3 linked regions of the Neurospora crassa OR74A genome follow. The protein of the gene in region 1 interacts with the protein of each later gene in a pairwise test. Links are inferred from orthologs where the notes say so. Each region holds a gene or a part of one and is shown on either strand. Other genes may lie near its edges.

Region 1 (3,135 bases):
TGATTCCACTGGTCCTTGGATGTAAGCAGGTTGTCCTGGTTGGTGACCACAAGCAGCTTGGCCCTGTCATTATGAACAAGAAGGCCGCCAAGGCTGGCCTTAACCAGTCGCTCTTCGAGAGGTTGGTCAAGCTTCAGTTTACCCCCATTCGCTTGAAGGTCCAGTATCGTATGCATCCTTGCCTCTCTGAGTTCCCCTCCAATATGTTTTACGAAGGATCGTTGCAAAACGGCGTCACTGCCGCCGAGAGACTTCGCAAGGATGTTGATTTTCCCTGGCCGGTCCCTGAGACTCCCATGATGTTCTGGTCCAACTTGGGCAACGAGGAAATATCGGCCTCGGGCACATCGTACCTCAACCGGACTGAGGCTGCCAATGTCGAGAAGATTGTCACACGCTTCTTCAAGGCTGGTGTCAAGCCTGCTGACATCGGTGTCATTACGCCGTACGAGGGTCAGCGCAGCTACATTGTCAATACCATGCAGAACACTGGCACGTTCAAGAAGGAATCCTACAGGGAAGTTGAAGTCGCTTCCGTTGATGCCTTCCAGGGTCGAGAGAAGGATTTCATTGTGCTGTCCTGCGTTCGCTCCAACGAGAACCAAGGCATCGGTTTCCTTTCGGATCCCCGTCGTCTCAATGTCGCCCTCACCCGTGCCAAGTACGGTCTGGTGATTATTGGTAACCCCAAGGTTCTCTGCAAGCATGAGCTCTGGCACCACCTTCTCGTCCACTTCAAAGACAAGAAGTGTCTCGTCGAAGGTCCCCTCACAAACCTCCAGCCTTCCCTCTTGCAGTTTGGCAGACCTCGCCAGGCCTACCGGCCGCAACGCAGCCACACTCAACATGTTGCCAGCGGTCCCTCTAATGGCCGGTTCGCTGCTCCCTTGACTGCCGGCTCCGTCAGGGATTATGAGACTGGTTCTATGGTCTCGTACATCCCGGATGATGTCTCCTCCATCCACAGCTCCGCCCTGGGAGGTGCTGCTTTGAGCTCTGGTTACCCTGCCATGTTCTCGAACTTCCACCCTGAGGCGTGGGCTGGTTTGCCGTGTGCTGGTCCCAACGGACGCCCAGGCGCCAAGGGCCGTGGTCGTGCGACAGAGAGCATCGCAGGCGAGAGCGTCGCCAACAGCGAGTTCACTGATGCCACTTCCAGTGTCATCGGCGGCAAGGGTATCGGACAGGGCGGCGCGAGTCTCGGTGCTGGCCTTAGCGAGGCCATCGGATCAGCCCGCCCTACTTCTTACAGCCAGAGCGATCGCCTTAAGCAGTATGTCGAAAGCAATGGTCGTATGGGAGTCGGCAACGGATACCGCCGTTACGATGACGACGAGAAGAGCGTCAGCACTGCTTTTGCCAGTCAGATCGGGACAGGTTTCGATTGAGCCATTAGATCCTAGGCGTTGTTGGTCTCCCTCTTCCTCTCGTGGAAGCGCACGACACAATGCTTATAGTTCTCTTGAACCTAAACGGCGGTATAGCATATGGACCTATTATGTGTCACTTGGTGAGCACGACAGACTTATTCTGTTGACACGCTACCGATAGCCTTCGGGCTGGCGGGCAGAAGACAACTTACCCTTCTCCAGCTTGGATTCGCCCAACTGAAGCTGCAAGGAGTTGTTGCTGCTCTCTGAAAGCCAATCCTTCACATAGGCTTCTTCAAGGTGTGGATGATCAGCCTACATACCCTCTGCGCAATAGTCTCGTGCAAGCTGAACCCCAAGCATACGGGAACAAGGCATCTTCACACACCTTCGTCTAAGGTTGCACATCAAATCAGACGTGCATACGGACTCAAGCAACGGACGGGTATCCAAGGAGGGTTTTGTCATCGTTCGGATGTACGGAGCCGGATGAGGTCGACCCACACTTGGTATTGGGGGAAAAACGTTGGGTTAGCTGGCGGTCGAATTTGCATGGTTGCGGAAGCGCCTGGTCAAATGCGATCTACCCAGGAAGAAGTCACCACTCGATCTGTTGCTTCCGGGCAGGTGGAGAGTTGGATATCTTCTTTCGTGGTAGAATGATGACCGAATGAAACGGCAAAGCCTGCAAGTCAATCAACGCAGAGAGTGGTTGGTTTACACCGATACGCTCACTCCATCCAGTCTTAAGCTTTCACGTACCACCAGCCAGCCTGAGTTAGTCTTTTTTCACTTCGTTTTCAAGCGTGCTTCACTGGGACTCACTCGTCCAGGCTCACTCGTCCAGGCTCACTCAATCCCATACCCTCCTTAAAAGAGAAGTTGTCGGTTGATAAGCCTGGACAAATCCAGTGAGCACTGCGTTTGATAGTTAGTTGATATTCGTCCCTCTGGACTTCCTAACCAAAGTCACTCATTATTTTATGACCAGAGATGGGGTAGAGATAGTTTTCAAACAGAAAAGAGAGATGGGAGGAGTCTCAACATGGACAAGAAAGGAAAAACAAGAAAATCAAAAAAAAAGAAAGGCAAGAGAAAAAGAAAGAAACAGCGTTGGAAATTATCAGATAGAGAGAGGGTAACGCAAGAGGAGTAGGTGTGAACGGTCATAGCTATTCACATATACTTACACTGGGAATCTGGAAACGTATCATGGGTACCTACCTACTTATTCAGATAGCTTATTTGAACTTCGTTTCCCGCTGGTTTTAGTAATTTTCTCCGTGACACGAAGATGGGTGAATGTTGTGTATGACGGTTGTTGACCGAGTTGCCCAACCATTGTGAAGACTGAAAACCCTCTATCATGAGCTGACGATTTTTGTTCTTTCCAAGAACGTGGTATTATGTATATTACTACAAGTGATTCTTTACTCTAGAAGCTTATGTACTCTTGTTTTCGTACCTGCTTTACGTTTCTCTCTCCCTCTTTCTCTCTCTCTTTACTAGCCAATTGGTATCTCTGTTTTGCTTCCTCTTTGACCTTTGTATCATCCATCCCATCTCATCCCATCTCATGCAGCCACATATGCTGCTTGCATCATCCTCCTCTTCGGTGAATTATTGTGATTTTTTCTTCGTCAACTTTTTATATGGGGGTGGTCACAACATAAGGAACCGGCTCAATTAGCCGGACTTGAAAGAGCGTGTCCCCAGGACAGCTGTTGTCTTGTCTTTGGCGTGGCGGTCAATGCACCCACCCACC
Region 2 (3,751 bases), on another chromosome or scaffold:
GCTGCCGTGCCCAAGCTCCTGCGTAAATGCCCGCTGCCCGCCCCTGACAGCTTCCGTCCGCGCGCGGCTTCTTATCTCGCATGTCCCATTATCTCATCCGCAAAACGCCTTCCTTCTACAGACCTCCTTCCAGCTTTCACTCCGAGCTACTGAAAAGATACTACCATTCCGATACCGGCAACCTTGTAGCACTTTAAACAAACCTGCCTTGAAAATGAGTTCCAAAACTCCTGATGACAAGCTTGAGCAGAAGAAGGTCAAGGATCCTCAAGCAGAGGAAGAAAATGATGAATCCAAGCAGGCCGATATCAAATTCTCACCTGAAGAAGAGGCTGCAAGTACCCACGACCAAAAGCAACAACAACAAAGACCCTCTTGATGCCCAAACCTCTGTGACTGACCGCCTCAGCAGGAATTGGTAGCTGAGTCCAACACACACAAAGCAGAGGCAAACGCCCTCTTCACCTCGGGCAAATACGATGCCGCCCTCAACAAATATGACGAAGCCATTGCTGTTTGTCCAAACTACCTGGACTACCCCTTGGCCGTCTTGCGCTCCAACGTGGCCGCCTGTCACCTCATGCTGGAAGCTTGGAAGGATGCCATCACGCACGCAACCAAAGCTCTGGACTTGCTTGACAAGCTAGAGCGGGAGGACAAGCTGGCTGCCGAGAAGGAAGAGAAGGAGAAGGAAGATGTCGAAGAGGAGATTGTCAGCGCTGGTGCAGCAAAGGCCGGACCCGCCGTTCCTGTCACGGAAACTGAAGCGCAGATTGCCCGCCAAAAGCGACTAGAGGATATTGCCAGGATACGGGCCAAAGCTCTGCTACGCCGGGCCCGGGCAAGGAGCGAGCTGGGTGGATGGTCCACCCTCGAGGGGGCTATCGAGGATTACAAGAAGCTATCTGCCATGACCAACCTTACGGCTACCGACCGAAAGCTCGTCCAGGCGCAACTCAGAGCACTGCCGCCCCGGGCCAAGGCTGCTCAGGAGAAGGAGACTGCTGAAATGTGGGGCAAGTTGAAGGACCTTGGGAATGGGTTGCTTAAGCCGTTTGGTCTTAGCACTGACCATTTCAAGATGGTGAAGGATGAGAAGACCGGTGGTTACAGCATGAATTTCCAGGGAGGTGGTGGCGAAGGCAAAAAGTAATGTTGTGAAAGTTAATGAGGGTCAGGGCTCTTGCGATGCCTACCAGCGTCGTGGTTGAGGATGAATGGCTTCTTGATAGTCCAGTCACCCAGCCATATGCACCTCTGACTGGGAAAGCTGATTTTCCAGTCACCTGAAAATATTATCGACCAGTAGTCAACACGAATCGACAGTTCAATGTCAACAGATCGACAAGGGGGGGAGATGATCAGGAGCTCGTACCCGACAGCTGCAATACAGCTGGCCGGAGCTAAAGCTCCATAAGTTTTGAGGCTGATTTATTGGTGTGGCAAAGCCGGCAGTAGAACGCCACAATTGTACGTACTGCTGCACTGGCTTGTGCTAATACCTCTAAGTACCCACGGTAGCCGATAGCCGATAACGAATTGCTTATCAATGCAGCGCGGGGCGATTTGGTGCTGGGCCCATCAAGAAATTTATTGACGACCGTCCCGTCAGCGCCTCCAACGTTCCCCCCCAGCGACTCGTTCTCGTCCTGGTCCATTCAAATTTCCAGTCGTCAACTTCTTTCTCATCCGCAGCAACTTCACTTGTGATTGCGACGGAACTCCCAGGTTTTCCTTTTCACGACATAGCGACTTTTGTTTGTTTTTACAATTGATACCCCGATTCATATCTTGTCGCAAACCACAACTTCATTAATCATGGATCTCGACGCTCCTATGGCCATGGCCCCGTTGATGGGCTCTGCCAGGACAGGTGCTACGTGAGTTTTGACCATGAAGACTGAAGGTTATCGAAGGCATGATTGCTGACACCACCAATAGCATTCTCTGCTGCAACTGCGGCGCTCCCATCGATGGCACATCCTCCGCCGGCGCTCTTTGCTACGACTGCATCAAGTCCACCGTCGATATCTCCCAGGGCATCCAGCGCGAGGCCACCCTCCACTTCTGCAAAGATTGCGACAGATGGCTCCTACCCCCCGCCAGCTGGGTCACAGCCGCCCCCGAATCGAGAGAGTTGTTGTCGCTATGCTTGAAGAAACTGAGGAATTTGGGCAAGGTCCGCATCACAGACGCCAGGTTCATTTGGACAGAACCCCATTCGCGAAGAGTCAAGGTTCAGGTTACGGTTCAGGATCAGGTGGCGGATGGTGTGTTGATGCAGCAAAGCTTCGAGGTCACTTACGTCGTCGCCAGCCAGCAGTGCAAGGACTGCGCCAAGTCATACACAGCCAACGTCTGGCGCGCCGCCGTACAGGTCCGCCAAAAGGTCACCCACAAGAGGACGTTCCTTTTCCTCGAACAGCTCATTCTCAGGCACCAGGCCCATCGCGACACAATCAACATCAAGGAAGAGAAGGACGGTATCGATTTCTACTTTGCCCAGAAGAACCAGGCCGAGGGATTCATCAGCTTCCTGAAGTCCGTCGTACCAGTTCTCACCAAGGAGTCGAGGCATCTTATTTCCGCGGATACACACACCGGCAACAAGTCGTACAAGTACAACTACTCCGTCGAAATCGTGCCTGTTTGCAGAGACGATTTGGTTGCCCTTCCTCTCAAACTCGCCAAGTCCATTGGCAACATTTCTCCCCTTGTCCTTTGCCACAGGATAGGAACATCTGTCAACCTTCTCGACCCCAACACCCTCCAGACCGCCGAAGTCAGCGCCGATATCTACTGGCGTGCTCCCTTCCATCCGCTTGCCGGCACTCCCGATCTTGTTGAGTTTATCGTTATGGACATCGAGTCCACAGGCGTACGAAAAGGAAAGTGGCTTCTCTCCGAGGTCCAGGTCGCTCGTGCCTCCGATCTCGGCGTGAACGACAACGTCTACTTCACTCGCACACATCTCGGCCAGCATCTCCACGCCGGTGACTCGGTGCTGGGTTACATGCTCGAGGGTACCAACTTCAACTCGGACGCGCTCGAGGCGATTGAGAGCTCCAAGGCGTACGGTTCCATGATCCCTGACGTTGTTCTCGTCAAGAAGCACTACCCGAACCGCCGCCGCAACAGAAAGAGAAACTGGAAGCTCAAGCGCATGGCCAAGGACGAGGGCGAGCTGCTGCCCAAGGCTTCGGACCAGGCCAAGATGGATGCCGAGTACGAGATGTTCTTGCGCGATGTCGAGGAGGACGAGGAGCTTCGTGCTGCTCTTGCTCTGTACAAGAACTCGCTCAAGACCAAGAGGGAGGCGGATGCCATGAGCATTGCCGATACCGACATGATGACGGAGGCTGAGGAGGATGGCCCCAAGATCAGCATGGACGAGCTCCTCGATGACTTTGAGGAAATGGAGATTCAGGATAAGGAGTAGGATGTGATCTTGATTGGAGTCTGATATGTGGATGTGAATGGCTTTGGGATTCGGGGTAAATCAAAATTCTGGGAGTTAGCTGTTCTTCAGGGTTTGCGTTTTTAAGGCATTTCATGAATAGATTCGGGAATGGGCTTGCCGTGTTGGCGCCCTCTGCATCCAACATTCTGTTGTCTTTATAGTTGTGAATGCATAGACGTGGTTGAAAGGATGCTACGACCGTCAAAGTACTAAATCAACGAAGATGTGCAACTTGTCATGTACGATGATCTTGGTCAGTCAAGGCCTAGTGTTACACATCTGCTCAAAATG
Region 3 (3,751 bases), on another chromosome or scaffold:
GGTGCCTTCTTCACATCGCTGGCGCTGTCGTTACGCTTGATGTTGAGAAGCGGCTTCGGGGTCTTGGCGTTGCTGAAGGAAATCTTGCCCAAGCTACCTTCAATAACAAGCTGCTTATTCTTGGGCTTGTTCTTGGCCGCCTCAACAGCACGCTGGACCTGTTGTTCCATCCTCTGCATATGGTTTTCAGGACCCCTGTTATGGCGGCGCATACCTCCTTGACGGCTTCCTGTCTGAAACAGATAAGTCTGAGCGAACTGGTTCAGAGGCTGGCTGGGGTGCTGGCGATGGCCAGCCTGGATCTGACTATGGACTTGATAGTAAAAGTCCTCGGCGAGTGACTCGTCTGTGCCGTGTTCATTGGGATTTCCAGTGGCTGCGACAAGCTGCTGAAGCTGGATCCGGGTGATGAAATTCTTGTCCTGTGGCGTCATGATACCATTGTCGCGAGACATTTGGAAGATCTTGTGGTTGCGCTTGGCGCGCTTAGCTTCCTGTTCAAGATACGCAGCCTTTTCCTCCTCCGAGAGCTGAGCCAGCTGGGCAGGATGAAGAATCATAGGGGGCTGTCGCGGAAGAGAGCCTTGTTGCCTGTGGCCCTGGTGAGCGGACTGAGGACCGGACGGAGGCGTAGGGTGAACAGGCAGCCCGATCTTAGCCGCGTCGCCTGAAAGACGGTTGGGGTTCTGCAGGATCTGAGTAGGCTGCTGAGGAACAGCGGGTTGCTGATGCTGTTGAATAGCGGGCGGTTGGGAAGAGGGCTGGGCTGGCGTAGGAGGCTTCGAGTGAGGCCGCTGAAGAATTGTCATGGGATGTCCCTGCGGTTGATGGTACAGAGGTTCAACGACACCGGCTTGGAAGTGAGCCTGCGGCTGGTTCTGAGCTTGGTGCTGGTAGAGGTAAGCCTGTTCATGTGGAATTTGATGGGGCTGATGCTGAGGAGCGGGAGATGGGGTGGCCGCCTTAGCCTGGGCGCGCATCTGAGCCTCAACCTCCTCAAGACTCAGCATCTTGCGGCCCCCAGACGGCGCGCTAGGGACGGCAGGTTGAGCAGGCGGCGGCGGTTGCTTCTTGGGTGCGACACCCCAGAGAGCAGCGTCAACCTGAAGATCCTCGATCGGCTGCTCGTGGTATTTTTCGTAGCCGGTCCTGGCAGGTCTAACTGGAGCCTGCGCGAAATAGTTGTACGAGGGTCCGGCGATGGGCGTATAGGCCGATGGCTGCGCGACAGGCTGGGGAGCCTTGGCAGCTGGTTGTTGGCGGTTGAAACGAACATTTTCCTCTTCAATGACGTTCGCGACCTTGGCGGTGTGGCCAAAGAAGTCAAAGTCTTTGCCTACAGGACCCGGCTCGCCAGTATCGCCGCCAAAAGTATCATCATTGAAGGCATCGTCGGTCTCATCCAGCTGGTCACCCAAGCCGTCATAAGTGTCCTCGAAGTCGATCTCTTCGGCTTCCTCGTCCCGGTTGGCTAGGCTGGCAAAGGGATCGTGAGCCTGGGAGAAGCCGGGAGCGGCGGTATTATGGCGAGACTGGTCGAAGTTGAAGAAAGACATATTGGCGATGCCTGTTGGGTTTATGGAAAATTTCTACAGAGGTATCACTATTGTAGGGTCAGTATACGTTGAGCGAAGAAAGATCGTTGCGGCGCAAATCCGGGTGCGATGTTGAGCTTTGGCTGATTGGCAAGGGCACAGAGGAAAATGAGGGGCAAAGCAAAAGACGAGACCCTGGTTGGTGAGTGGGACGAGAAGTATAAAGAAGGAACAGCCGTGACGCAGGTTCACGAAGTTCTGGGTGGAAGGGGAAACAGGAAGGGCTTGAAGGTCCAGTGGTCAAACAGCCCGAGCCAAGCAGAGGGGCGACTCGATGGATGTTCCACCTAGCTGGGGGTGGTGAGCTGTCTCTTGAAGCGCGGGGCAACAACAACGACATGGAAGATGGAGAATTGGGACATGGGAGCCCAACTTTCATCCCATGACCTTGCCATACCGAGGTTGCAAGCACGCTGTAGAGAAATCAAAGAACAACGTACAGAACGATATGTAAAGATGTTGGTATGATCGGTTTGGTCAAGCACCATGATGCTGCGATGCGCGACGTGAAGGGAAAGGAGACGTGTCGACGGCGGTGCGACTCGTGCAAAGGAGCGGAGCAGAGCTTGTCAGGGCGGCAACAAATACTCAGCGCTCGGCTTGGAAATATTAAAACAGAGAAGCAAAGAAGGCTGTGAACTAACGACCGGAAGCGCAACTGGGTGCGCCGCGGTGAAGATGTGGATGCGGTTGCTCGGAGTGGTAGCTTGATGGCAGCGCAAAAGGCGACAAGAGACCGACGCAGATGGATGAAGTCAGGCCAACTCCAACTCAGAAGCCAGATCAGGGAGCTGTGGACCAATCGCCCCCGAGGGCCAATGGAGCCTGGCAACAGGTGGGCGGGCGGCGGTAGGCCTGACGCTTTGACACACCACCCTCCTGTCTTGCCGTTCGTTGACTGACGATGGGACTTCCAAGGCCGCGGCCGGGGGAGTGATTGCCACGGTTGGGCGGCAACCAGAGGCCCATTGCCTGCCGGGCTGTGGGATCCTCAACCGCCGGCAAGAATGTCCATTCCATCCTTCCAGTCTTGCAAGTTGTTTTATCCGATGAGCCAATCGGCGATACCCGCCCGCTAGTTGTGATGCGTAACAGTGATCAACTGGAGGCTACAACATGAGACCCGGACGGGACGGCAACCTCATGGTCAACATTTAACGCCAAGCCGACAACCAAATTTCAAGCTCGAGATATCGATTTTGGCAAGAAAGCTGAAGGGCAAGGACAGTAGCTCAGGCATCCATTTTGCTGCCGTGACATCCGTGACTAAACGCAGCTGTTTAGACTGTGCTTCTAAGTATGTGAATTCGCCATTCCGATGCAGGTGAAGCGGAAGCGCGGACATGGACAGAGGCAAACATGGCATGGCTATCTTAAGGCTGTTTTCTTGACAGGTGACTTTACTGTACATAGTATGCAGTCGAACTTGAATTATATCAGGGGCCTGGTATTTCCCTGTTGTTTCTTTTGAGAGGGAGGTATCATGGCCATCACTCAAGTCGGTGTTCTTCGCCATCTTGAAGAACTACTCCGATCGGAGGAGCAATGCGGAGGGAGCAGGCCGGCAGCAGATCATATTAACCCAAGTATCATAGTATGAGCTAATCAGCCACTTCTCAGCGTGGTAAAAGGATCAAGAAGCTCAAGACATACCCCTCCGTTGACGGATGCGACATGTGAACTGAAGTCGTCGTAGAGGTAGGTAGTGCCCCTGGAAGTTGACGACGCCCGTCTCAAGGGGGTTTTTGTCCCTTACTAACAGGGCCACGCTAGAACCGTCACGGCCCGCAATAATGGGGTACCTGCGGATACAGGTGACGACGAAGCTGTGGGGGCACCGAGGGCACCCTAATGTCTTTCCCTGCCGCCTACCCCCGCGGCCAATCTTTTGGTCCTGGCCGGACGGAAACATTGAGGTGCTCAGGGGAATGCACCGCAAGCGACCATCAGGAACGGGGAATGCGATAGCTTCTGGTAGGTATGTAGATATTATTTAGGCCACTTGCGGACGTTGCTGAGGATGTTGTAGGTAGATACCGACACTTTTGGGATGTTTTCATTACAGGCTAGTTCGCACCTAACTACCTCTAAAGAGGCCGAAACATGAACAGCACTTGAGATACCAGCATCTCCATGCTAGACATTCCTCTAATATC

What was found.
Region 2: the proteins of prd-6 (region 1) and NCU08663 interact in a two-hybrid assay, tested with the Saccharomyces cerevisiae proteins (2 studies listed by BioGRID). The link is inferred for Neurospora crassa OR74A from reciprocal best matches to the Saccharomyces cerevisiae genes NAM7 and NMD3.
Region 3: the proteins of prd-6 (region 1) and NCU06540 interact in a two-hybrid assay, tested with the Saccharomyces cerevisiae proteins (2 studies listed by BioGRID, with this or other methods). The link is inferred for Neurospora crassa OR74A from reciprocal best matches to the Saccharomyces cerevisiae genes NAM7 and PAT1.

Annotation. Positions count from the first base shown.
Region 1 is NC_026505.1:5,327,037-5,330,171, reverse strand, and holds the end of prd-6 (ATP-dependent helicase NAM7), read left to right. Parts: coding exon 1-1,388; 3' UTR 1,389-2,635; downstream 2,636-3,135. UniProt on the Saccharomyces cerevisiae protein: RNA-dependent helicase required for nonsense-mediated decay (NMD) of aberrant mRNAs containing premature stop codons and modulates the expression level of normal mRNAs. Also capable of unwinding double-stranded DNA and translocating on single-stranded DNA.
Region 2 is NC_026504.1:4,180,216-4,183,966, forward strand, and holds NCU08663 (60S ribosomal export protein NMD3), read left to right. Parts: upstream 1-1,551; 5' UTR 1,552-1,818; coding exon 1,819-1,880; intron 1,881-1,941; coding exon 1,942-3,439; 3' UTR 3,440-3,750; downstream 3,751-3,751. Other genes in the region: NCU08664 (tetratricopeptide repeat protein 1), read left to right, coding at 215-334, 413-1,153. UniProt on the Saccharomyces cerevisiae protein: Acts as an adapter for the XPO1/CRM1-mediated export of the 60S ribosomal subunit. Unlikely to play a significant role in nonsense-mediated mRNA decay (NMD).
Region 3 is NC_026504.1:1,578,507-1,582,257, forward strand, and holds the start of NCU06540 (topisomerase II associated protein), read right to left. Parts: upstream 2,393-3,751; 5' UTR 2,036-2,392; intron 1,604-2,035; 5' UTR 1,557-1,603; coding exon 1-1,556. UniProt on the Saccharomyces cerevisiae protein: Activator of decapping that functions as a general and active mechanism of translational repression and required for P-body formation. First decay factor recruited to mRNA, at a time when the mRNA is still associated with translation factors.